Arabidopsis thaliana: one gene and its partners. The protein of the gene in region 3 binds, or shares a complex with, the protein of the main gene of each other region. Each region holds a gene or a part of one and is shown on either strand. Other genes may lie near its edges. The genes, in order: TIC40, TIC55-II, TIC110 and Tic20-II.

Region 1 (6,475 bases), on a different chromosome or scaffold from region 3:
GGAGTCTTTAAGCTTAGCACTCATGTATAGCTTAAAAGAAATCTTATGTTCCGATGCTAAATCAAACATCTTCATTGATGGTTTGGAGTCTCTGGACATGTAGCATTCTGGGAATTTTTTTTCCCGTGGATTCTAGCATTTTCTCGAGATTCGACATCTTCCTATGTTTTTAATTCTGATCTTATGTTTGGATATTTTAGATCTTCGAATTTCTATGATAAAGTGTTAACCTTTTCTCAAATAAAGGTTTTGTGAAAATTTGCTTTTTGATGCTGCTCTATGATGATTCTTTTTGCTTTAACCACACTGAAAAGATGGGGTTGAGAATGTGATTTTGCTCTTCTTGATTCAAACCAGAGAAAGATTAGATTTGATCTCGGAGTTTCTTGATGACACTTTGATCTAAGTTGCTTGAAGGGGATTCTTTTTCTCCTTTGTGGTTTAGATTAAGGTAGAGAGTAATGTCGAGCTCTTATCAACATTTTTCATGGTTTGAGGCTTGAAGAACATTCACGTTTTTCAAGCTCACTCATGTGGACAACCTTGGCCCTTGTCTGAGAAGCAGCTTTTTCTCATATTCAGTTTTTCTAAATTTGTTGTTTTAAAAAAAAAAATTGGTTTGTTTTTTTGGCTGTTCTATGATGATTATATTGCTTTAACCACACTGAAAAGATGGGCTTGAGAATGTGATGTGGTTCTTCTTGATTTAATCCAAAGAAAGAGTTCTTGAGCTATATGTATTGCTTGATGACACTTTGATCTAAAATACTTGAAGGGGATTTGTTTCCCTTTGTGTTTTAGATCAAGGAAGAGATCAGTGTAGAGCTCTTGTTCGATATTTTTCTTAGTTTAAATCTTGAAGAACATTATCATTTTCTCAAGCACTCATATGTGGAATCATTGTGCCCTTTGTCTGAGAAGCAGCTATGAATTCTGTTTTTGTCTTCGATATTGTTAAACGTAGCTGATTTGTAAGATTACTTTGTGATCTTTTTTGGATGCTTGATATGTATCCAACCAAGAGTGGGTTTCTTCTTACAAAGATATTGAGTTAGGAATTTTAATGTCATTTTATGTTCGAATTGGGGAAAATTCACAAAAAATTGGGAAAATAGAAGAGAGCATTATTCGATGTTTACCACATGGTGGAATAATTTGACAGAACAATGTACTTTGGGAATGACATATGGAACAAACTGTGTAAACCAATTTGATGATGAAGGTGAACGAGTTACATATAGGAGACTTACACTTCCATAATAATATTCAGAAACTATATGAAAGTGTATCTTTCTTTATTACTAAAACTCTTTTCTAATAAGAAATGTGTAAACTATGTAACTCGGCAACGGTTCCAGACTCTCTAATCCTAAATCAATGTTAAAGGCGTAAGGCTCTTGAACCTGTTCATTGTGAGCTTTGAACTAAGTATTCAATTTTTTGGACAATCCGAAAAACACAACAGTATAACTACAAATGGATTAGTCCCATTTGGGCGTAGTCTCATTCGTTTGGACGAGAAACACAACGAAAAACCTAGCCAATTTTGTTGTTCTCATGTATGGGCTTAATTGGGGACTAATCCATCTGTGGTTCCCCTTGTTTCCATAGTTCGTAATTTTATTCGTTTTTCGTCTTAAGTTTTCCCTTCTTTAGGTTTAGTTTCCGGAGATATTTTTGTTTTCCGCCGGCTTTGTGTTTCAAATTTGTATTCCACCCTTTGTATTTCACAACCTATAATACAATGGAAAAATTCTGGATGAAAAAAAGAAAAAGAACACAGTATATAGAAAAATCTGAATCACAGTACTAACATCATTGATTTTCTGCTACAAAAATGAGTGTACACTGATTCTTAAAATAGATACGGGCTATAACATAACAAAAAGAAAAAGTGGGGGATGGCTTTTGCAATAATCTCGAAAGAGTTTCTCACTCACATCACACCCTTGGTTTATAAATAAAACTCATTGATCTTGACGGTGAAAATATCGCCACCTGTTAATTTGTAAAAAGGTTTCAGTACACTTAGCTACACTGGATCCAAGTCTAGTGCTAAACTCAAACCTCGTGGTTTTAGACCAAAATCTCTTCTTCTTCGTTTCCTTCTTCCTCATCATATCTTTCATCTTCTCCACCAGAATTTGTTTTAGGCTCTCCTTCTTCTGTTTCTTTTTCTCCCAAAGAAACAATTAGATATGGAGAACCTTACCCTAGTTTCTTGCTCAGCTTCTTCTCCAAAGCTGTTAATTGGATGCAATTTCACTTCCTCGCTGAAAAACCCTACTGGGTTTTCTCGTCGGACTCCTAATATTGTCCTCCGGTGTTCCAAAATATCTGCCTCTGCTCAATCTCAATCTCCCTCTTCGCGTCCGGAGAACACTGGAGAAATCGGTTAGTTTGCAAATTCCACTCGACACTCTATTATAGCAAATGCCAAAATTTTCCGGAAAAATTTCCAGTTTATTACTTTTATCTATCTTATTGAAACTCAAATTGCGAACCCTTTTCGACTGGTTTAATATGAGCTTATGAATTGCTATATCTCTTAAAAAAATCCACACTTTGTGAATTTGCAATTTGAATTCTTGTAGAAACCATTCATTGTTAGAATTGTTTACTTTAAGTTTATGTTCGATTTGCAGTGGTTGTGAAACAGAGAAGCAAAGCTTTTGCAAGTATATTTTCTTCGAGTCGTGATCAACAGACAACTTCTGTTGCTTCCCCTAGTGTGCCTGTGCCACCACCATCTTCATCAACCATGTAATTTTCCTGGTTTTGGACAATGTGCTTAGTTTGTATGTCGTTTGATTCTTGGTTATTAAATTGTGTTTTTTCTTTTTTCTTGTAGAGGATCACCACTTTTCTGGATTGGTGTTGGTGTTGGTCTATCAGCTTTGTTCTCATATGTGAGTATCAAGATTCCTTCCTAATTTTTTTTTCCTCTATAAATATTCTTTCTTGCTTCAATATTGATTAATAAGTGCTTGACCTTTTTTCTTTTCTGATGGCATTGCAGGTAACTTCAAATTTAAAGGTACAGATACTTGGCCCTCTGGTTTTACGGGACTTTTGTTCTCTAGTCTGTTGCAGAACCACGATTTTATGCTTCATGTCAACTCTAGTGTATTGTGCTCATGTATCTGAGATAGTTTTATTCACTAAACTGGTTATCTTAACAAGGTGAACTGTTTGCTCACACTTGTTGAACCGTTTATATAAGCATCGAACTTTTGCCTCTCTTTTTTTGGGTAGTCACTTGATTCGTAGATGGTAACCTACATACCATTATGGTTTTAGTGATGCAACTCAGGTATTCAGACTTATAGTCATTTTCGCAACTCCAGTATTTGATTGAAATATATTATACAAGTTGTCATTGCTTTCTCTCATTATTCTCTAACCGGCTGTTACTCTCTTTGGATTTTTTTTTTTGCTTTGGTTTAGAAATATGCAATGCAAACAGCTATGAAGACGATGATGAACCAAATGAATACGCAAAATAGCCAGTTTAATAATTCTGGATTCCCATCAGGATCACCTTTTCCGTTTCCATTTCCTCCTCAAACAAGTCCTGCTTCCTCGCCATTCCAATCTCAATCCCAGTCTTCAGGTGCTACCGTTGATGTGACAGCGACAAAAGTAGAGACACCTCCTTCAACTAAACCGAAACCTACACCTGCAAAGGATATAGAGGTGGATAAGCCAAGTGTTGTCTTAGAGGCAAGCAAAGAGAAGAAAGAAGAAAAGAACTATGGTAGATTCTTTTTCTGTTTCAGAAATCAACGTCTTTTCATTTGTATTCTCAATTTTGACTTTCTTCCTTTCTCATTTTCCAAGCTTCTAACTTGGAAGCTGATTTACTTTTGGATGCAGCCTTTGAAGACATTTCACCCGAGGAAACCACAAAAGAAAGCCCATTTAGCAACTATGCAGAAGTCTCTGAAACTAATTCCCCCAAAGAAACTCGCTTGTTTGAGGATGTAAGTTTCGTTTTCTTTTGTATTTCCACAGCACACCAAGTGGTGATTTAAAAACGTGACATAGTTTTGCTAACCTTCTATGCTCTCTTATTGATCTCTGGGTGAAGGTCTTGCAAAATGGAGCTGGTCCGGCAAATGGTGCCACTGCTTCAGAGGTTTTTCAATCTTTGGGTGAGTTATTGAATTTCAGTTTTCATCACTATCAGCGCACTGTGCATGATTCATGATTAAGGCTACGGATTTCAATTTTATTTTATAGCATATGCCAACAATTATAAACAAAGGAAGATATGAAATTGGTGATAAAGAGGAATGAGTTGGCTTCAAAAGGATCTACTCCGTTACTTTTGTCCTTCTGCTAGTCGTTGATCTGTATTGGTATAACCATATAAGACTTGCAGGATATTACCTTGGCAATCTGTTTCATATCTCATGTGTTATGATTCTTTTTTCTTATATGCTCACGTTATTGTCTCTCTTTTCCTTATTCTAAATTTAAAACTGAATCCTGAGTCTGTCTATTGTTTACACAGGTGGTGGGAAAGGAGGGCCGGGTTTATCTGTAGAAGCTTTAGAGAAAATGATGGAAGATCCAACAGTCCAGAAGATGGTTTACCCGTAACTCATCTTCCCTAGCACATTGTCTTTAAATGCATCCATTAAGTTTATCTTTAAAACTGGTTGCTTAGTGGACATTTGGTAACATTGCATGTATAAATGCAGATACTTGCCTGAGGAGATGAGGAACCCAGAAACTTTCAAATGTAAGTCTTTTAATATTTAATCCTGCTATCATTCTTTTATTAGTCCTCATTTTTACATATTTCTAAAGACTAAAGGTTACATGACTAGCTTTTGAATGATGTAATTCGTTTATAGGTTGATCCAATGGTTATCTAAATTTAAAATACAGTTTGGTACTTATTGTCTCCGCTTGGAATTTTGTAGGGATGCTTAAAAATCCTCAGTACCGTCAACAACTACAGGACATGTTGTAAGAGCTCCATTTTACGAACAATTTAGTTGTTTCCATTGCTTTTAAGAATGTCTAAACTATGTAATTAAGAAATACTCTTGTTTGTTTCTTTTCATGAATTTAGGAATAATATGAGTGGGAGTGGTGAATGGGACAAGCGAATGACAGATACATTGAAGAATTTTGACCTGAATAGTCCTGAAGTGAAGCAACAATTCAGTAAGACAAATCTCAGTTTGTACCAAGTTAATAGTACGTTAAATAGGTCTGATACTCAATGATTGAATCTGTATTTGTCAGATCAAATAGGACTAACTCCAGAAGAAGTCATATCTAAGATCATGGAGAACCCTGATGTTGCCATGGCATTCCAGAATCCTAGAGTCCAAGCAGCGTTAATGGAAGTACGTTTTCTTTTAACCTGAATAAGAGAATTGCTTAATTTTACCCCACTTCTTTCTTCATACAAAACAGAAACCAATTACATTCTTGTTGTTGTTGCAGTGCTCAGAGAACCCAATGAACATCATGAAGTACCAAAACGACAAAGAGGTAATAATACTGCCACTTCTCCATTGCCCAAAAAGGCGATTACTTTTTTAAGAAATTTGAGGTTATTATACATTGATTGCAGGTAATGGATGTGTTCAACAAGATATCGCAGCTCTTCCCAGGAATGACGGGTTGAAAAAGCTCACGTCTTTGGTTCTATCAAAAATGTCACATTGTCTTTAGCTTTTTGTAGGGAGAAAAAAATGTTTTTTTTTTTGCAAAGAGTCTTCAGTTTTGGTCAGATCAGAGAATTGTGTACCATGTTAATCTTAAACGCGGTCGGGAATTGGAGTCGTGTGAAAACGCCGCTGCTGTTGTTTGGTATGAATATTATACAATAGAATTTGTTGTCTTACCAAAAAAAGTCTATGAAGACACTGAAGAGCAAATTATTATTTTTAAGGGAAAATTTCCAAAATAAACTTCATGTATTCAAAATTTGCTTGAAAAAACCTCAATTTTTTTTGTTTGAGATTGTGTGAATAAATCTGCCAATATTTTGTTTTAGCAATTTAAAAAATTGAAGTTTTTTTCTCGCAAATTTTAAATAGTTGTGATTTATTTTGGAATTTTACCTTATTTTTAATATCCAAAAGGAGAAGTGACGTGGCGATATCGAAGCGGTTTAATGAAGTGATGGCCCCATCTTAAAGAAATCAATGACCCTTATCGTTCCACTTCTATCGGAGTCGGAGTTTTTTTTTGTTGTTGTTGTATTCCGTACGTCGGTCGTTGTCGGGAGAATTGGCGCGTGAAATCCTTGGCTCCGTCGAATACGTCTGCCTCCGACGGCTGTGAGTCGCATGATTGAGTCGTGGGTAAGTATCCTTGTGACTTCAAATTTGTATTTCCGTTCTTTATAATCCCCTGACTCTTGAGAAAATCGAGGAGAAAAAACCATCCTTGCTTGGTATTCATTTGAAGAGTGTTTTAGTTATAAAATCGTAATGTTTGACGGTATGTG
Region 2 (4,493 bases), on a different chromosome or scaffold from region 3:
CAGCAAAGCGGTCACTGGATTATGCTCTTGAGCACATTAGGAATGGAGAATGTAAAAGCGAGAAACAAAAGAAGAAAAGGAGCAGAGGTGGGAAAAGGAAGCGTGGGAAGAAGTTTGCAGAAGCAGCTAAAGCAGCGAAACAGGAAGAGGAATCGAAGCCAGATTTGTTTAGCTTAATCAATGAACAAATTTTTCCTACCCGCCATGAGAAAGTACACAGCGAGTCTGTAAAAAATAGGCAAAACAAAGGTCCAGTAGACAGGAAAGCTTTGGTTGAATACCAAGATGAAGTCAGAGACTTGAAGTTAGAAATGTTGAAACTAGAACAGATGGTGAACAGAAACAAGAAAGATCTAGTTGTTTCAGAGGCTGCGACGAGAAGATTGAAAGAAGTCCGAAAGGCATTGGCAAGTACATTAGCATGTCAAGCAGCTGCCTCAAATGCTATAGTAAGCAAAGAGAATGAGAAGAAATGGCTCAAGTTTTAGAACATAGAACTTTAAACCAGTTTAACAGAAATTTCATGGTTAAACTGTAAGATTGATGGCAAACATTGGAACCTTCTGAATTATATAATTGCGTTTACAAGCAAAAATTTATTTCATGAAATACATATTGTTGGAAGAAGAGGAAACATGACACTATACATTTTCATAGTCTTCTGTGTGTTCTAATGAAGTTATTGGTGTTTAGATTTATAGCTCTTAAGCAGGTATAAGCTGCGGCTGAGCACAATGCTGCTGAACCTAACAGGACAGCCTTCCACTGTCTACTAACCACCAGAATGGCCAAAGCCGTCAAAGCCACTGCCGTGGCAGAGAGGATATTTTTCCAGAGCTCAAAAGATTTGATCACATTGCTGCAGCTTCTACAATGAATAATATGTCTGAAGTACCGGTTAGCCAAATTGGGAGCATGCATAGTCCCAATTCCGCCTTTTGCAGGGTAAGAAGCAGAGAGAGCTGCAATGAGCCCTGCCGGGGCATGTTCCACGACAGGAGGGACTTTGGGGAGAGATATGGTCCTATGCCCGAAATGGTAAGGCATCCCATGACCAACTTTGTCCATCCACTTTCTATATTCAGCGACCCATGTGTCCGATGACTTTAGATTCAAATACAAGTCCTTAGTTGGTACTTTCTCCTTCATCAGAACCTCATTTTGAGACGATAGAAACCCCATGTCTTGTTCAAAAACCTTGCAGGCATTCTGATGCCAGAACCATTGAGGTAACACCGAAACCAAAGGCGATCTTTTTGTGACCCCAAACCTAACAATAAGCATAGACTTCCCTTGCCCTGTAGGTCTACAAAGAAACAGCCCTGAAAAATAGTTCTTCACTCCATCCTTCCCCTCGAACTCTCGATTGTTCTGCAGAACACAAGGAGCATCAAACCGAAGTAAATTACTCCCTTTCCCACCTTCTTTCTCTCGGCCCCAAGTCCCTGCGAAACCCCGATTACTTCGCTCTGTGACCTCGAAAACCAAAGGCTGAGCATCTTCTCTTTTAGCAGTGAAATCCGTTCTATCATGAGAGATAGGAACATGAGCAGGATCCATCAGATTCTCTAAAAGAATGGAATGGTCATAAGGAAGCTCATGAGTAGTCGAAATGTCGAAAAAACCGGGTCTAGCGAAATTCTCAAACCAAGGAAGCTTCTCAGGGTTTGGAGGTGTCTTTGTTGACATCCACACCCACACAACTCCTTGTGAATCCTTCACCTCATACGTCTTCACACAAGCAGCCTTTGGAATCTTAGCACTTGCAGGAAGCTGTTAGAAACAGAACCCAAAACCAGTAAGTACAGAGTAAAGAGAAAATCTCGAAATAGCAAAAATCAGTAAACAAAGAACCTGAGGAATCTTGACACATTTGCCCTCTCCTTCAAATTGCCAACCATGATACAAACATTCCAATCTCCCATCAATCAATTGTCCTTCAGACAACTTAGCCAACCTTTATAAAAAAAAAGACAAAACTCAATTTCAGATTCCTAAACAAAAGTACAAAACTAGTGGTTGTGGTTTTGCTAGATGATTTATCTTACCGATGAGGACACCGATCTTCGTAACAACGAAGTGTTCCTTCACCGTCTTTATACAAAACAATTTGACGATCGTAGACGGTGAGGCCAAGAGGCGCATCTTCAGGGACGTTTTTAGTTAAGTACAATGGATACCATTCCTCTGTCCAATCATAATCCGCCACCTCAACACGTTTCTCTTCTTCAGGGTTTAAAAGAACATCTCCACCTCCTTCTGTTTGATCAGATACGGCGGTTCCAGCGACGGCGGAGCGGCGGAGGAGACGTAGACGAGGCTTTGTGGGTATAGTGCATGTTGATCTGTGGTTGTGGATTATTGGTGTTGGTGTTACTTTAGTGAAGAGAATCGGAGAAGTGGGTGTGAGTTGTAGAGAAGAGCTTAGAAATGGAACAGCCATGGCGGATTCTTCACTAGAGAGCTCGAATCCAATGTTAGGTGTTGTTTGCCTCTTCTCATAAAATATATCATAAGGTTGCTTGTTCAACCATTGGACCTCGTTCCACCACATACATAGATAGTAGAAACTTTGGCTAAACGACGTCGTTTATTTTTACGTTATTTAAATGTCATTTTAACTTCTTTTTATTTTATTTTTAATCTTTTAAGTTTTAACATTAGTCTTTTTTGCTTTAATACATTTCATAGTGATGAAAAAAAAACATAAAACTATGTTAATAGTGATTAATTATTTATTCATTGTTGATAATAATAACAATAAAAAAGGCTATACTATGCCTAAGAACAGAAACTGATAACATAATTAGCACTAGTACATGTAAATCTACTCGAAGCATAATCGTACACATAGCTATACGCAGTGGGACAAGCTCCTTTAAATATCTTCGAGTATTTCGTCGGCGGGCAAGTCTCCGGTTTACTGAAAGCGCCGGTGCAACAATACTCCGGTTTGTTAAAAGCCTCACAAGCACTCTTACACGCCACAACACCCGATGAGCCGTTAACGCGTAGCTCTTTTGGACAAATGGCATTCACGTCCGAAACACATCCCGCGGTTTTACAATTGCCTGAGCCACCTTGTGGTGTGATTTTCACCTGAACGTTGTAACCGTCGACGAGACTCACGTCGTAAGAATCTTGTACGGTGTATTTCTTTCCAGAGGAGCCGATTCTGAATTCTGCTAGTGTGGCTGGTGGTGCTCCTCTTGCACCGGTGCATTTTTACATTTTCTGGAACCAGAGGCGTTGAAGTTGCAGCCCGTTCGACCCCAGATTCGACCAGACCAACCTGGAGAAACGGTTAAGTTTACAGAAGAACCTGAAGCTAAGGCAAATCCGCCGCCGCGGAGTAGTGTGCGGTTTGCGGTTAGGATTCCGGGCCACACAGTAAAGTTGCAGCGGTTTGATAAAGTGAAGACGGTGCCGGAGACAATAGAAATTGTACCTTGAAGAATATACAATTAAAAAAAAATTACTAGGACGGACAACAAAAAAAAATTATCAGATAAATTATTAAATCAAAGTAGTCATCTTAAAATGTTGGAAATGTTTTATGTATACATGTGGCTATGATGAAGGAGAAGAAGAGAAGATGTAATTTGGAGAAAATAGCCATTGTTAATCTGAGTATTGAAAAGTTGAAGTTGTGATGATTAGTGAAAGTTGATGGTGAGGATCCTCTGTTTATAGTGTTTTTCTTTTCTTTAGAAACAAATCCATTAACTTATTGTTTTGGATACTACTACCATAAGTGACACTTCATATTTTTATTTTTTTTACTTTTAAAGTTTAATGAGATTTTGTTTCTTATTACATAAAAATCAACTTTATTAATCTTAAGGAAATCTCCGTAAGCATTGATGTTTTGGATTTTACACACATTAAAAATTAAACATTATTTTATGACTGTTTATTTTTTATATTAAATATTTTTAATAACTATAAACTAATACTCATTGATTGTAATCTAATAAATTTAATCATTGCATCCTGAACTTTGTGATTTATAATATCAGTCAATAAAGAAGAAAAGAAAAAAAAAACTACAAAATTAAAGTGGAATAAACTTAAAATGATTAGAAAAAGATGGAGTACATTTTTTCTATTATTTTTTCACAAAGCTTTAAACCTAACATTAAAAAATTTGCTTGTTTTGTTTCCTTCGAAATTATAAGATTATTGCTTAATTAGGTTATTGAATTCGAGTCCAAAGCCACGACCCCCAGGTTTTAAAATCCAAATATCTCCGTTGCTTGTTTATTTTTGTTCTATATCGAGTTTATTATCTAAAAACGACAAACCTTTTACTGATTTCCACCATTTCTTGTACTTTTCAGGTTTTCTGAGACATGAAAGACAAAGAATTGGCTTATCAACAGAAACTATCAACAAATAAAGAGTTTCTGAAGCACATTATTAGATCCTTTTGTACATTTTTCTATTTATAGATTCTCTCTTCTTTTTTTGTATGCAAAAGTGACATATACTAT
Region 3 (7,709 bases):
CAAAGAGCAGCTGAAGCATCATACTATTCGTCTCAATGGGAAGATTATGAATGAAGAGTATGTTGTTTGGTGGCATCGTGTCTTGCCCACTCGGCTGGAAAGGAGGCTGTGAAATTACAGAGACGGGTATTAGGAAACAAGGATTTACAGACTAAGTTGCGATAATGACGTCTGTCAGAAGATAATATTGTATTGTTGGAATGATGCGAGAAAGAGAAATTGCCACAGGCATTCCGTTCTGAGTAGTTGCGCCATTAGGCATGCTTGGTTGTTGAGTTTCTTCAGCATGTCGCTTCCTTTCAACTGAAAGTGATGTGCAGTTTTGTTAAACATCAGATGCGAAGTAAAACACAGATGAAATGAGCTGAAAAGATCTGAACTTGTGATGGAAACGAAAGTTTAAACCTTTCTCTTCTTGCTTCATCTTCTTTTCTTTTGGAACAAAAGACCCTTCGGCTTTAGTAACATAATCTGACTTTGATTTTGCATATTGTATCCGCTGCACCCACAGAGATCACACATCACGATTTGAATAATAATATTGCATTTAGCTTTTTCTAGTCTTTTACTTAGTAATCACTTGTGTAATGATATACCCTCAACATCTAATGTCGTTGTACTTCCTTCAATTTTATATAACAACAAGTATCAGCAAGCAAACTCAATTTTCCCTCCAAGTAAATCTCTGCAACTTTCTAAGCTTATAGTCTCACATAACAAGATAAAATCATTTTTCGGTAGCGGGATAGATAAACCTGGAACATAAGAGAGGAAAAAGGTACCATAGGCTTATCATAGAAAGGAAAGTTCTGCATCTGACGGACAGCGTTGCTAGCAGCGGTGACTTCAGTAAAAACAACCCATGCTTGTCCCCGGAGCTTAGGAGTCTTTAACGCAACCACATCAAGTAATCTTCCAAACTGAGAGAACAAACAGTAAAGAGACCTCTTCAGCTCTGAAAAAAACAAGTGGAAACATTAAACAATGATCTGCTTGAACAGCATTACTCTTAGACAAACAAAAGCAGCAGCTAAAGAACTTAAGGTCATTGACTTCAATCAAACAATCTAAACAAATTTCATGGCAAAAGCAATCGCCTTTCCTACTTAATTACTTAAATAAAGCACCTTTGTTAGAGTATCTCTAGTTCAGGTCTATTAAGATTAGACAGAAATTCTAAATCCCTAATACTTAGAAAGATAACTCTAAATGCATCTAATCTAACCTTCGTAAACATCAAATTAAGCAACTTTAAACTCAGACAACTCATTCAAGAGAAGCTCACACAAGCATTACCAAGCTACTTAAGCATTGCAAAAACTCTTAGAAAATCACCGATGCAATTATATGAATTTCGTAAGCATTACCTTCTTTCTTGATCTTCTCATTGATATGTTTTATGTAGATTGACTGATTTGGTGGTATATCAGCCGTTAACATCTTTCAACTGAGCTCCGCGAAGACGACGATGGTCGATGGTCACAGCCCTGAGAAAATTTAGCGAGCCCTAAGAGCCAAGAAGAGAGAAGAAATCGTGGCGTTTCCAATTTACACAAGGCGTCTAATTTGTTTTTTTATGTAAACATCTTACCGTTACCGAAGAGTAAAACAACACGTAGTTTTATAATATTATTAAAAAACGTCTGGACGTTCGAAAGGGGATTTTGATGTTTTGTTAGGCCCTATCTCTTTCCCCTTTTCTTCGTTCGCATCTCTATCTTCTTCCGTTGTCTACTGTTTTTCGTTAAACCCTACGATTCTTCTTTTTTTCAACGACTGCTCGGATCTTTCTCAGTAGAGGGAACCATGAATCCCTCACTCGTCACCGCCATTAACGCTCCAATTTCACCTTCTCCTCGGTCTCCTCTTCTTTCTCACTTCCTACCTACTTTACCTCACCGTTTCTCCAAGTCTGAGTGTCTATCTCGCCGTCGTTATCGAGTTTCGTTCCCTCGTAGCTCAGCTGCTTCCTCCGACCAACTATCAGTATCTACGCAGGCGAAGAATCCCGGTATCCATGGGAATAAGAAGGAGCTCACTGGATTGCAACCGATTGTTGAGAAAATGACACCGCCGGTGAGGCTAGCGACTTCAGCTGTTGTATTAGCGGCGTCTTTAGCTACTGGTTACGGCCTTGGGCTCCGTTTAGCCGGCTCCAGGAATATTGCCTTTGGTGGGGCTGCTGTTGCTGGAGCCGCCGGTGGAGCTGTCGTATATGCGTTGAACTCTGCTGTACCGGAGGTAGCTGCTATCAGTTTGCATAATTATGTTGCCGAATTCGAAGATCCTGCCTCTGTGACGAAAGATGATGTAGAAAAGATCGCTGATAGGTGAGTGCTTCATTTAATTGTCAATTTGTGTCTGGGATTTATAAACAAAAGTTTGCTTAAACGATCCTTCTTATATGTTGCAGGTACGGTGTCAACAAAGGAGACGAAGCATTCCAGGCTGAGATTTGTGATATTTATTGCCGGTGAGTCAACAAAGGATACTGTGTTCATCTTTTCTCTTAGTGTGGGGAATTCATTAGTAATCTTTGCATCTTAATCTTGATTTAGGTATGTAACTTCCGTGCTTCCAACTGAAGGACAGTCTCTTAAAGGGGATGAAGTGGCGAAGATAGTCAAGTTCAAAAATGCTTTAGGGATAGACGAACCTGATGCAGCTGCCATGCACATGGAGGTGCTTTCTAGATTCTTAATCTTCATTTGAATTAGCCGTTAGCCTTTTTGTAGTTGATGCAGAAGGATCTTGATTGCTGAATCACCAATTCCTTGGTTTTGTTTAGATTGGTCGCAGGATTTTTAGGCAAAGGCTTGAGACTGGGGAGCGTGAAGGTGATGCAGAACAGCGTCGGGTGAGTCGCCAGTCCCTAGTATTTGTTAAGTTTATTGTAGGATTGTTCGAAAGAGAGCACAAGCGTGATCACAAGTTGTATGCTTCCAGTGCAGGCATTTATGAGGCTTGTATATGTTTCAGCTCTTGTGTTTGGAGATGCTTCATCCTTCCTTCTACCTTGGAAGCGAGTATTGAAGGTCACAGATGCTCAGGTAGGCATTTCCAATTTTTTTCATACTTCTGATTTTGCGCAATAGTTGTTTTATGGAAGTTTCATTTTGGCAACTCACTCCTTCTTGGTAATCTGAAGTTCTGTGCTAATGTCTTGACCTCATTTCTAGGTTGAGATTGCTATTCGTGAAAATGCAAAGCAGCTGTATGCCGAACGGTTAAAATTAGTTGGTAGAGGTAATGTTGTTCATGTTTTACATTTTGAGATGGGAAGTAATGTTACATTTGTAGAACGGGTTTGAGTTTGCTTGACTTGGTTATATTGATTATTGTGGCACTTCTTTGTCCATTGGGTTTTGTAATATTCGTTTATCAGCAAGTTGTCTGAATACCAACCTTAATTGTTACTTCGCATGCGACTGTAATGGTCCCTTCTCATTTAACATTGATAATAGATATGGCTTTTTGACAACCAAAAAAAGATATGACTTAGCTTTTTCGTCAGCTTAATGCATGGAAACTTACATGGTTATGTTTCTAAACATGTTCTTGCAGATATTAACGTAGAAAACCTTGTGGACCTTAGAAAATCACAACTATCATTCAAGCTCTCTGATGAGGTACTCTATTTCTTTGTGGCATTGACTTCCTGCTATCTCTGGTTGTACTTCTTCTGACAGTTTCTTCTCCCTCATAGCTTGCTGAAGACCTGTTTAGAGAGCATACGAGAAAAGTAGTCGTAGAGAACATTTCATCGGCACTCAGCATACTCAAATCCCGCACACGAGCAGCGTAAATCATTTTAACATATTGCTTACAGAATCATGCATAGAAAAATCGTATAGAATAATCATTATCCATGTGAACAGTTTGGTTACACATTTAACTTTTTTATTTCTTATACCAATGAGTTATGACTTTAGCTGGGTATATGTATTCCTTTGCTTGAACATTGAGTTTGGTCGGGTTGAAAAAAGAGATTGAAGTTTTGGCTTTAGTTTTGAGTTTTGGTTATTGCAAAAACTGATTGGTCATATGATCTCTTTTGCTTTTGTGAATTGTCTTATAGTATAAGTATTTAAAAAAAAGTCATGAGATTTTAATTTTATAGGCGTTTTTGTATCTTGTGATAATTAATAGTGGAAACAAATTGGATCATCTAGTATGTCTAGTTTATAGTAGTTTACAATGCATGTCATTTTAACGACCTGATTTTTTCCAGGAAGAGTTTGGCATCTGTCGTGGAAGAGCTTGAAAAAGTACTGGAGTTTAACAACCTGCTAGTTTCCTTGAAAAGTCATTCAGAGGCAGATCAATTTGCACGCGGGGTTGGCCCTATTTCTTTGATAGGTGAAGATGCTTTTGACCTTCTCTTTTCTGAAGAAAAATTATTGGCTCTCAACCTTGGATCTATGTGGCTTAGGTGATGAGTCTGATTTTGAGAGGAGAATGGATGATTTAAAGCTCCTTTATAGAGCATATGTTACAGATGCTTTATCTGGTGGGCGCTTAGAAGAAAATAAGGTATACTCAGTTTTGTATAAGATATTATGTACTAAAGCTTAGTTGCAAGTTTTTTTGAGAGTAAGTGTTTTCAGATGCTGTGTCCTCTATCCCAGTCGCATGTTTTTTTCCATTTCTAATTGTCTTTCTACTGTATGGTAGCTCGTGGCAATGAGCCAACTTAGAAACATACTCGGTCTGGGAAAACGAGAGGCTGAAGCTATTAGTGTTGATGTTACGTCCAAGTCTTACCGTAAAAGACTTGCTAACGCTGTTTCTAGTGGTGACCTTGAAGCACAAGACAGTAAAGCAAAATACCTTCAAAAGCTCTGCGAAGAGCTGCACTTTGATGCACAGAAGGCAGGCGCAATCCATGAAGGTATAAGCCGAACCTTCTGTTCACAATGAAATCTTATGTTTTTATGTTATGCATGAGGTATACAGTTGGAATTGCCACATAATCGCCCAAATGTAAGATGTGTCCATGGGTATCAATTTAGTTGATGGCTTGTAAACTTGCGGGTTCCTTATCCTTTTAAGCTAGCTTTTAGTGTTGTAGATTTGGTTCTTAACAGACTTCTAACAAGTCTGGTGTTTCAGTGGGTTACATGCTGTTATTTTACAGTTTGAGTATCTATTTGGTCTTTTTTTCCCAATCATCTGACAAGCACCTTCTCTTCCTCAGAAATCTATCGGCAGAAGCTTCAACAGTGTGTTACTGATGGAGAGCTGAGCGATGACAATGTTGCTGCTTTATTAAGGTTAAGAGTTATGTTGTGTATTCCCCAGCAAACTGTTGATACAGCTCATGCAGAAATCTGTGGAACCATATTTGAAAAGGTAATCCAGTTATCACCTCCCTTTTCCCTTTATCAAGGGTTTTTTCATGGTCTTGGGTCTTGGCACTGCAATTTCCCTCTGCTTCCCTCTCTGCCTTCGCATTTTGTTACCAAAAGGTTTTACCTCTAATTACCTTTTTGTTTAATCTTTCCAGGTTGTCAGGGATGCCATTTCTTCTGGAGTGGATGGTTATGATGCTGAAACTCGCAAATCAGTTAGAAAGGCTGCACATGGTCTTCGGTTATCCAGAGAGACTGCCATGTCTATTGCTAGCAAAGCTGTGAGTATCACACTATTTACTTTCTCCATGCTTGGTATTAGGATTTGTTAAAATTTTCTGACTTCTCATAGCAAGACATGAAAATCAAATCCCTTCATTGATGCAGGTCCGTAGGGTTTTCACAAACTATATCAGACGAGCAAGAGCAGCCGAGAACCGTACTGATTCAGCAAAGGAGCTCAAGAAGATGATTGCTTTCAACACGTTGGTTGTGACTGAAATGGTGGCTGATATCAAGGGAGAATCTTCTGATAAGGCACCTGAGGAGGACCCTGTTCAAGAGAAAGAAGAAGATGATGAAGATGAAGAATGGGGATCCCTTGAATCGCTCAGAAAGACAAGACCCGACAAGGAACTCGCTGAGAAAATGGGAAAGCCTGGCCAGACTGAGATAACTCTCAAAGATGACCTTCCCGACAGGGACAGAATAGATCTCTACAAAACATACTTGCTCTACTGTGTAACTGGAGAGGTAACAAGAATCCCTTTTGGCGCCCAGATCACAACAAAGAGAGACGATTCAGAGTACTTGCTTCTAAATCAGCTTGGTGGGATTCTCGGATTGAGTTCGAAAGAAATAGTCAACATTCACGTAGGTTTAGCCGAGCAGGCTTTTAGGCAACAAGCTGAAGTGATTTTAGCTGATGGGCAATTGACAAAGGCTAGAGTAGAGCAGCTAGACGAGTTGCAAAAACAAGTTGGTTTGCCTCAGCCACAAGCCGAGAAGGTTATCAAGAATATAACCACCACAAAAATGGCAAACGCGATAGAGACCGCTGTTAACCAAGGAAGACTGAACATAAAGCAGATACGGGAGCTCAAGGAGGCAAATGTCAGCCTGGACAGCATGATCGCTGTGAGTCTGAGAGAGAAATTATTCAAGAAGACAGTGAGTGACATCTTCTCATCAGGAACTGGTGAATTCGATGAAACCGAAGTCTACCAGACAATCCCATCCGATCTCAGTATTGATGTGGAAAAAGCCAAAAGAGTTGTCCATGATCTCGCTCAGAGTAGATTATCGAATTCGCTGGTCCAAGCCGTGGCATTACTCAGGCAGAGAAACTCTAAAGGAGTGGTATGCAAATCATCTTTTCCCTCTCTTATCGTGACAGAAAACATGGATATTTCAGCTTCTGGGTCTAAATTGTGTATGTATGTATGCTTTTTTTTTTTGGTTTTACAGGTCTTGTCGCTGAATGATTTGCTTGCATGTGACAAAGCTGTGCCGGCTGAGCCAATGTCATGGGAGGTCTCAGAGGAATTATCTGATCTATATGCTATTTATTCAAAGAGTGATCCCAAACCCGCACCGGAAAAAGTTTTGAGGCTACAATATCTGCTGGGAATAGATGATTCAACTGCAACTGCCCTCCGTGAAATGGAAGATGGAGCATTATCTTCTGCTGCAGAAGAGGGCAATTTCGTCTTTTAAATCTTTGGAGAAATCACTTGAGTTATTATGTATTGTGTTACGGCCGAGGGTGGAAAAATGATTTTGAATTTGAAATTTGACCAAAGTCTGTGAAAATTTTGTATCAGAACCATAAACTTGATATGATTAATTTGAAAATCTGCAAACGAGAAGTGTATCCCTTATACAATTTAGAGCGCAGCTTTGAAGTGCTCATGTGGTGTCACGTGACGGGTGTTCCCGCATAACGAACCTAAAAAATAGAATAACAGTTAATTCAATCATTGAGAACTTTTTTTTTAATGAAATGATTTGACCGTAACACCGTAAGTGAAAGTTAATTGTTAATTCTATGGTGGTCTCACATGACTGCACACAACTAGAACAATACTCAACAATCAACATGTATACTAGATCTGATCTCGTTATAGTATGTTTTTGTCGAAATTTCTAATTATACAAAAGCACGTCTTTTAAAGACAAAAATAGAAGCCATATGATCCAATCAATTGATTCATAGAGATGATGATATGAATCGATGAAACATAGTTTTTAGAAATTATTTCCAAGATTACAAAAAAAGAAAAAAAAGAAGTGAAAATTAATAAGAAAATAGGAGAGAGTTAAATATAAGAAAAAAGGCAGAATCATTTAACATGATCT
Region 4 (3,151 bases), on a different chromosome or scaffold from region 3:
CGTGGCTCATGGATCCACCTGCATTCTTTGGATGGTGGAATTTGCATGACGCCCCAAATTTACAAGTTCCAGTTTTCAAGTAAAACTGCCAGGAAAGCAGAGATCAATAATATCACAAAAAACCTTGTTTCATCACTTGGAACATATAAAATGACTGGTCGGGGTGGGTTACCTGGCATGGGGGTTCACCAAAACGTTCAGGATACTGCCCGGTAGCTCTAACAGTTGCTTCAACCTATACATGAATCAACATGAGAAAATAGTAAACTGTGGCCAAGCTAAGATGACAAAATGATAAGCTTTTACAAGAGCATACAAAGGTATCAGTAAATACAGGGAAACACCGGGTAGAGTCAATGCATAAGACAAAAAAAAACGTGACGTAAAGCACAACAACTGAAACCAGTAAAGCTTAACAATTTCCCCAGTTTAGAGAGACTCTATAAGGCCAGTGATCACCCACATTGCGGAAAAAACAGAGAGAAGCATTTGATTGTGTCCTCCTAGTATGGATGGTTTCAGAACAATAATAAGAAAGAAGAATGAATGAGAGGAAGAAATTACCGAGGCACGATCGCGAGGGTGATTGTAACGACATCTATTACCGTAGCCACAGACACCAGTTCGCATGTAGTAGGCACAGTCAGGAGCACCTGGTCTCTCAGGGTACGAGTCGCTACCCAACCCTAATCGCCACATCGATTCTGCAAATCACAAAATTGAGCACAGTCAGGGCCATTTAGCGGAAACCCTAAAGAGACCGTACAGTTGCTGAGAATCAAAGCGCATGCGAGACCTTGGAGTCCGGTATCGGCATCTGCAGGGGTCCAGTCGGGAGCTTGAGCAGATTGTGAGCCATTGAGGGGAGGATTGCGAGCATACATGTCCTTAAATTTAGGGATTTGGTGTACAGTAAAAAAGATACTAGTAAAAACTCCTCTCACCAAACTAGAAGAAACTAATAAGAGAGTAAATGTCAAAAGCTCATCGGTGGATCGACAGAGATTTACCGGAGAAGCCGATTAGAAAAGCTCTGAGAGAGAAGAAAAAAAGAAGAAGAAGAAGAAGAGATGCTTCGACAGTGATTGAGAGGAGCTTCTTCTTTGGTCGGTCTCTCTCTCTCTCTCTCTCTTCTTTCGCTCTTCAGGAATACCGTACGGTCTGCCCTCTGCACTACTGTTTCTTTTTTTAGCTTTCAATTTCTTTTTCTCATATTCTTTTTTAAATAATAATAGTATATAGTAGTAGTTTGTATTAATTTGTTTTGTGAGATTTATTTTTGGTTCTCTCTTGGTCCTTGGGTCGCCAAGTAAAAGCATCCCAGAAAAGGGAAGATATTTCCAAGAAATATACTACTTGACAAAACAACAAACAAAAAATAAATAAACTAATTTTTACTAGTTTCCAACCAAAATGACGGTAAGGTCCTTGGGCGGGGATAGCGCGCGAGTGGCCAACATGTGACACACAGACAGTTTTCTCACTTCACTTGCTAACTCGGGGAGTAAAGTGGTCTGGTCCGAAAGTGGGGACACATCCGTCATTTCTACCTGCTACTGTTTCTTAACTGCTCTCTCAACTCGCTCTGACCGAGTCTGACTCGACTCGACTCGCCTTCAATCAATGCCATCACATTTCTTCGTTTCCGCTTCCCATTTGTCGGCGCCACAAAAACCTTCTGTTGTTCACGAAGCCCTCTAGTACCATATATAGGCCCATTTATATAGCTAAGTCGGCCCAATTATGTTGTTAGTGTGCGCGGGCCAAATTTTAGATTCGAAAACGGCAGCGTTTGAGCTGTTACTTTTTTTTGCTCTTCTTGTCAACAAATCGACACTGCCGACTAAACAGCGAAAATCCCAAACAAAAAAATAAAAGAATGGCGTCTCTGTGCCTTTCTCTCCACCAAACCCTAACTAATCCCCTGTCGGCTCCCAGATGCAGACCACTCAGCCTCTCCTTCCCCGGATCCTCAACCTTCTCGATCCGCCCCTCTAGCAGACGCGCAACCGCCTTGACGACCCGCGCCTCCTACACCCCGACGCCGGCGACTGAGCGCGTGATTTCGATAGCGTCGTACGCGCTGCCGTTCTTCAATTCTCTGCAGTACGGGCGGTTCCTGTTCGCGCAGTACCCAAGGCTGGGATTGCTGTTCGAGCCAATCTTCCCAATCCTGAACCTGTACAGATCGGTGCCGTACGCGAGCTTCGTGGCATTCTTCGGGCTGTACCTGGGAGTGGTGAGGAACACGAGTTTCAGTAGGTACGTGAGGTTCAACGCGATGCAGGCGGTGACGCTGGATGTGCTCCTGGCGGTTCCGGTGCTGCTGACCCGAATACTGGATCCGGGTCAAGGAGGCGGGTTTGGAATGAAGGCGATGATGTGGGGGCACACGGGGGTTTTCGTCTTCAGCTTTATGTGTTTTGTGTATGGAGTCGTCAGCTCCTTACTCGGCAAAACTCCATACATTCCATTTGTCGCTGATGCCGCCGGTAGACAACTCTAATTCCGGCCAATATCTACCTCACTCAGTGTTCGGGTTTTCGATTCTAGAATCGGTTATTTCTGGTTTATAAGAGAGACCAAATCAATCAGTGTTGTTAATTAACCATTACCGTTTTAAAAAAAATATTTTTTGTTATACTCCCAACATTTGATTTGGCCCAATATGAAAGAACAGTATGGGGGGCCTTTAATGAAGCTATCATTGACTGAGTATAATTTTACAATCGTCGGTGAAAAGGTAACTAAGTAAACGGTAAAAAAATGAGCGCCGTCTATCTTACCGCGCAATGAATGAGAAGTCAATTTGGGAAACTGATCGGAGAAAAGAGGGAGAGAGGGTTTCTCAGCTGAAATCAAAATGGGTATTATCAGATTTCAAATCCTGAATCCGACGAGGATTTGTAGGTCTACTATATATTATATGTCTTGCCGTTATCTGCCATCATCATCATCATCATCATCACCACTCCGAGTATCTTCTTCTTCATCGCAAAAACCTAGTTTCGATTTCTCCAGAAGGTGGCATTTTGGTCACCCTGATCATCACCAGCAATATCAAAAGCCTGGAGAAGAAGGGGAGAAGATATTCCGGCTAGGTCTCACCGCAGATATAGGTTTATCTGTCGCAAAAGCTCTCACCGGTTAT

Evidence for each region.
Region 1: TIC110 (region 3) and TIC40 share a complex: the UniProt entries of both Arabidopsis thaliana proteins name them as parts of the tic complex.
Region 2: TIC110 (region 3) and TIC55-II share a complex: the UniProt entries of both Arabidopsis thaliana proteins name them as parts of the tic complex.
Region 4: TIC110 (region 3) and Tic20-II share a complex: the UniProt entries of both Arabidopsis thaliana proteins name them as parts of the tic complex.

The regions. Positions count from the first base shown.
Region 1 is NC_003076.8:5,448,610-5,455,084, forward strand, and holds TIC40 (hydroxyproline-rich glycoprotein family protein), read left to right. Parts: upstream 1-2,010; 5' UTR 2,011-2,198; coding exon 2,199-2,394; intron 2,395-2,645; coding exon 2,646-2,763; intron 2,764-2,851; coding exon 2,852-2,909; intron 2,910-3,019; coding exon 3,020-3,037; intron 3,038-3,447; coding exon 3,448-3,757; intron 3,758-3,876; coding exon 3,877-3,983; intron 3,984-4,090; coding exon 4,091-4,154; intron 4,155-4,516; coding exon 4,517-4,601; intron 4,602-4,706; coding exon 4,707-4,747; intron 4,748-4,931; coding exon 4,932-4,977; intron 4,978-5,083; coding exon 5,084-5,178; intron 5,179-5,259; coding exon 5,260-5,363; intron 5,364-5,463; coding exon 5,464-5,511; intron 5,512-5,593; coding exon 5,594-5,647; 3' UTR 5,648-5,968; downstream 5,969-6,475. UniProt on the Arabidopsis thaliana protein: Involved in protein precursor import into chloroplasts. Part of the motor complex consisting of a co-chaperone (TIC40) and a chaperone (HSP93) associated with the import channel (TIC110).
Region 2 is NC_003071.7:10,572,988-10,577,480, reverse strand, and holds TIC55-II (translocon at the inner envelope membrane of chloroplasts 55-II), read right to left. Parts: upstream 2,540-4,493; 5' UTR 2,444-2,539; coding exon 2,049-2,443; intron 1,958-2,048; coding exon 1,855-1,957; intron 1,774-1,854; coding exon 652-1,773; 3' UTR 543-651; downstream 1-542. Other genes in the region: AT2G24830 (zinc finger (CCCH-type) family protein / D111/G-patch domain-containing protein), read left to right, coding at 1-488; AT2G24810 (Pathogenesis-related thaumatin superfamily protein), read right to left, coding at 2,782-3,017, 3,100-3,234, 3,293-3,448, 3,565-3,619. UniProt on the Arabidopsis thaliana protein: Involved in protein precursor import into chloroplasts. Part of the redox regulon consisting of TIC32, TIC 55 and TIC62.
Region 3 is NC_003070.9:2,129,661-2,137,369, reverse strand, and holds TIC110 (translocon at the inner envelope membrane of chloroplasts 110), read left to right. Parts: upstream 1-1,666; 5' UTR 1,667-1,806; coding exon 1,807-2,330; intron 2,331-2,413; coding exon 2,414-2,473; intron 2,474-2,558; coding exon 2,559-2,682; intron 2,683-2,788; coding exon 2,789-2,857; intron 2,858-2,951; coding exon 2,952-3,050; intron 3,051-3,179; coding exon 3,180-3,246; intron 3,247-3,564; coding exon 3,565-3,629; intron 3,630-3,706; coding exon 3,707-3,801; intron 3,802-4,231; coding exon 4,232-4,359; intron 4,360-4,432; coding exon 4,433-4,533; intron 4,534-4,674; coding exon 4,675-4,891; intron 4,892-5,197; coding exon 5,198-5,352; intron 5,353-5,506; coding exon 5,507-5,632; intron 5,633-5,738; coding exon 5,739-6,710; intron 6,711-6,818; coding exon 6,819-7,067; 3' UTR 7,068-7,317; downstream 7,318-7,709. Other genes in the region: AT1G06960 (RNA-binding (RRM/RBD/RNP motifs) family protein), read right to left, coding at 1-106, 224-303, 406-499, 783-955, 1,368-1,440; AT1G06930 (TPRXL), read right to left, coding at 7,698-7,709. UniProt on the Arabidopsis thaliana protein: Involved in protein precursor import into chloroplasts. Forms a voltage-dependent cation-selective channel at the inner envelope of chloroplasts, which specifically responds to a transit peptide.
Region 4 is NC_003071.7:19,593,686-19,596,836, reverse strand, and holds Tic20-II (putative conserved protein ycf60), read left to right. Parts: upstream 1-1,835; 5' UTR 1,836-1,879; coding exon 1,880-2,506; 3' UTR 2,507-2,650; downstream 2,651-3,151. Other genes in the region: AT2G47850 (Zinc finger C-x8-C-x5-C-x3-H type family protein), read right to left, coding at 1-85, 173-235, 565-704, 797-884; AT2G47844 (uncharacterized protein), read right to left, coding at 1,398-1,544; AT2G47830 (Cation efflux family protein), read left to right, coding at 2,864-3,151. UniProt on the Arabidopsis thaliana protein: May be involved in protein precursor import into chloroplasts. Not redundant with TIC20-I, TIC20-IV or TIC20-V.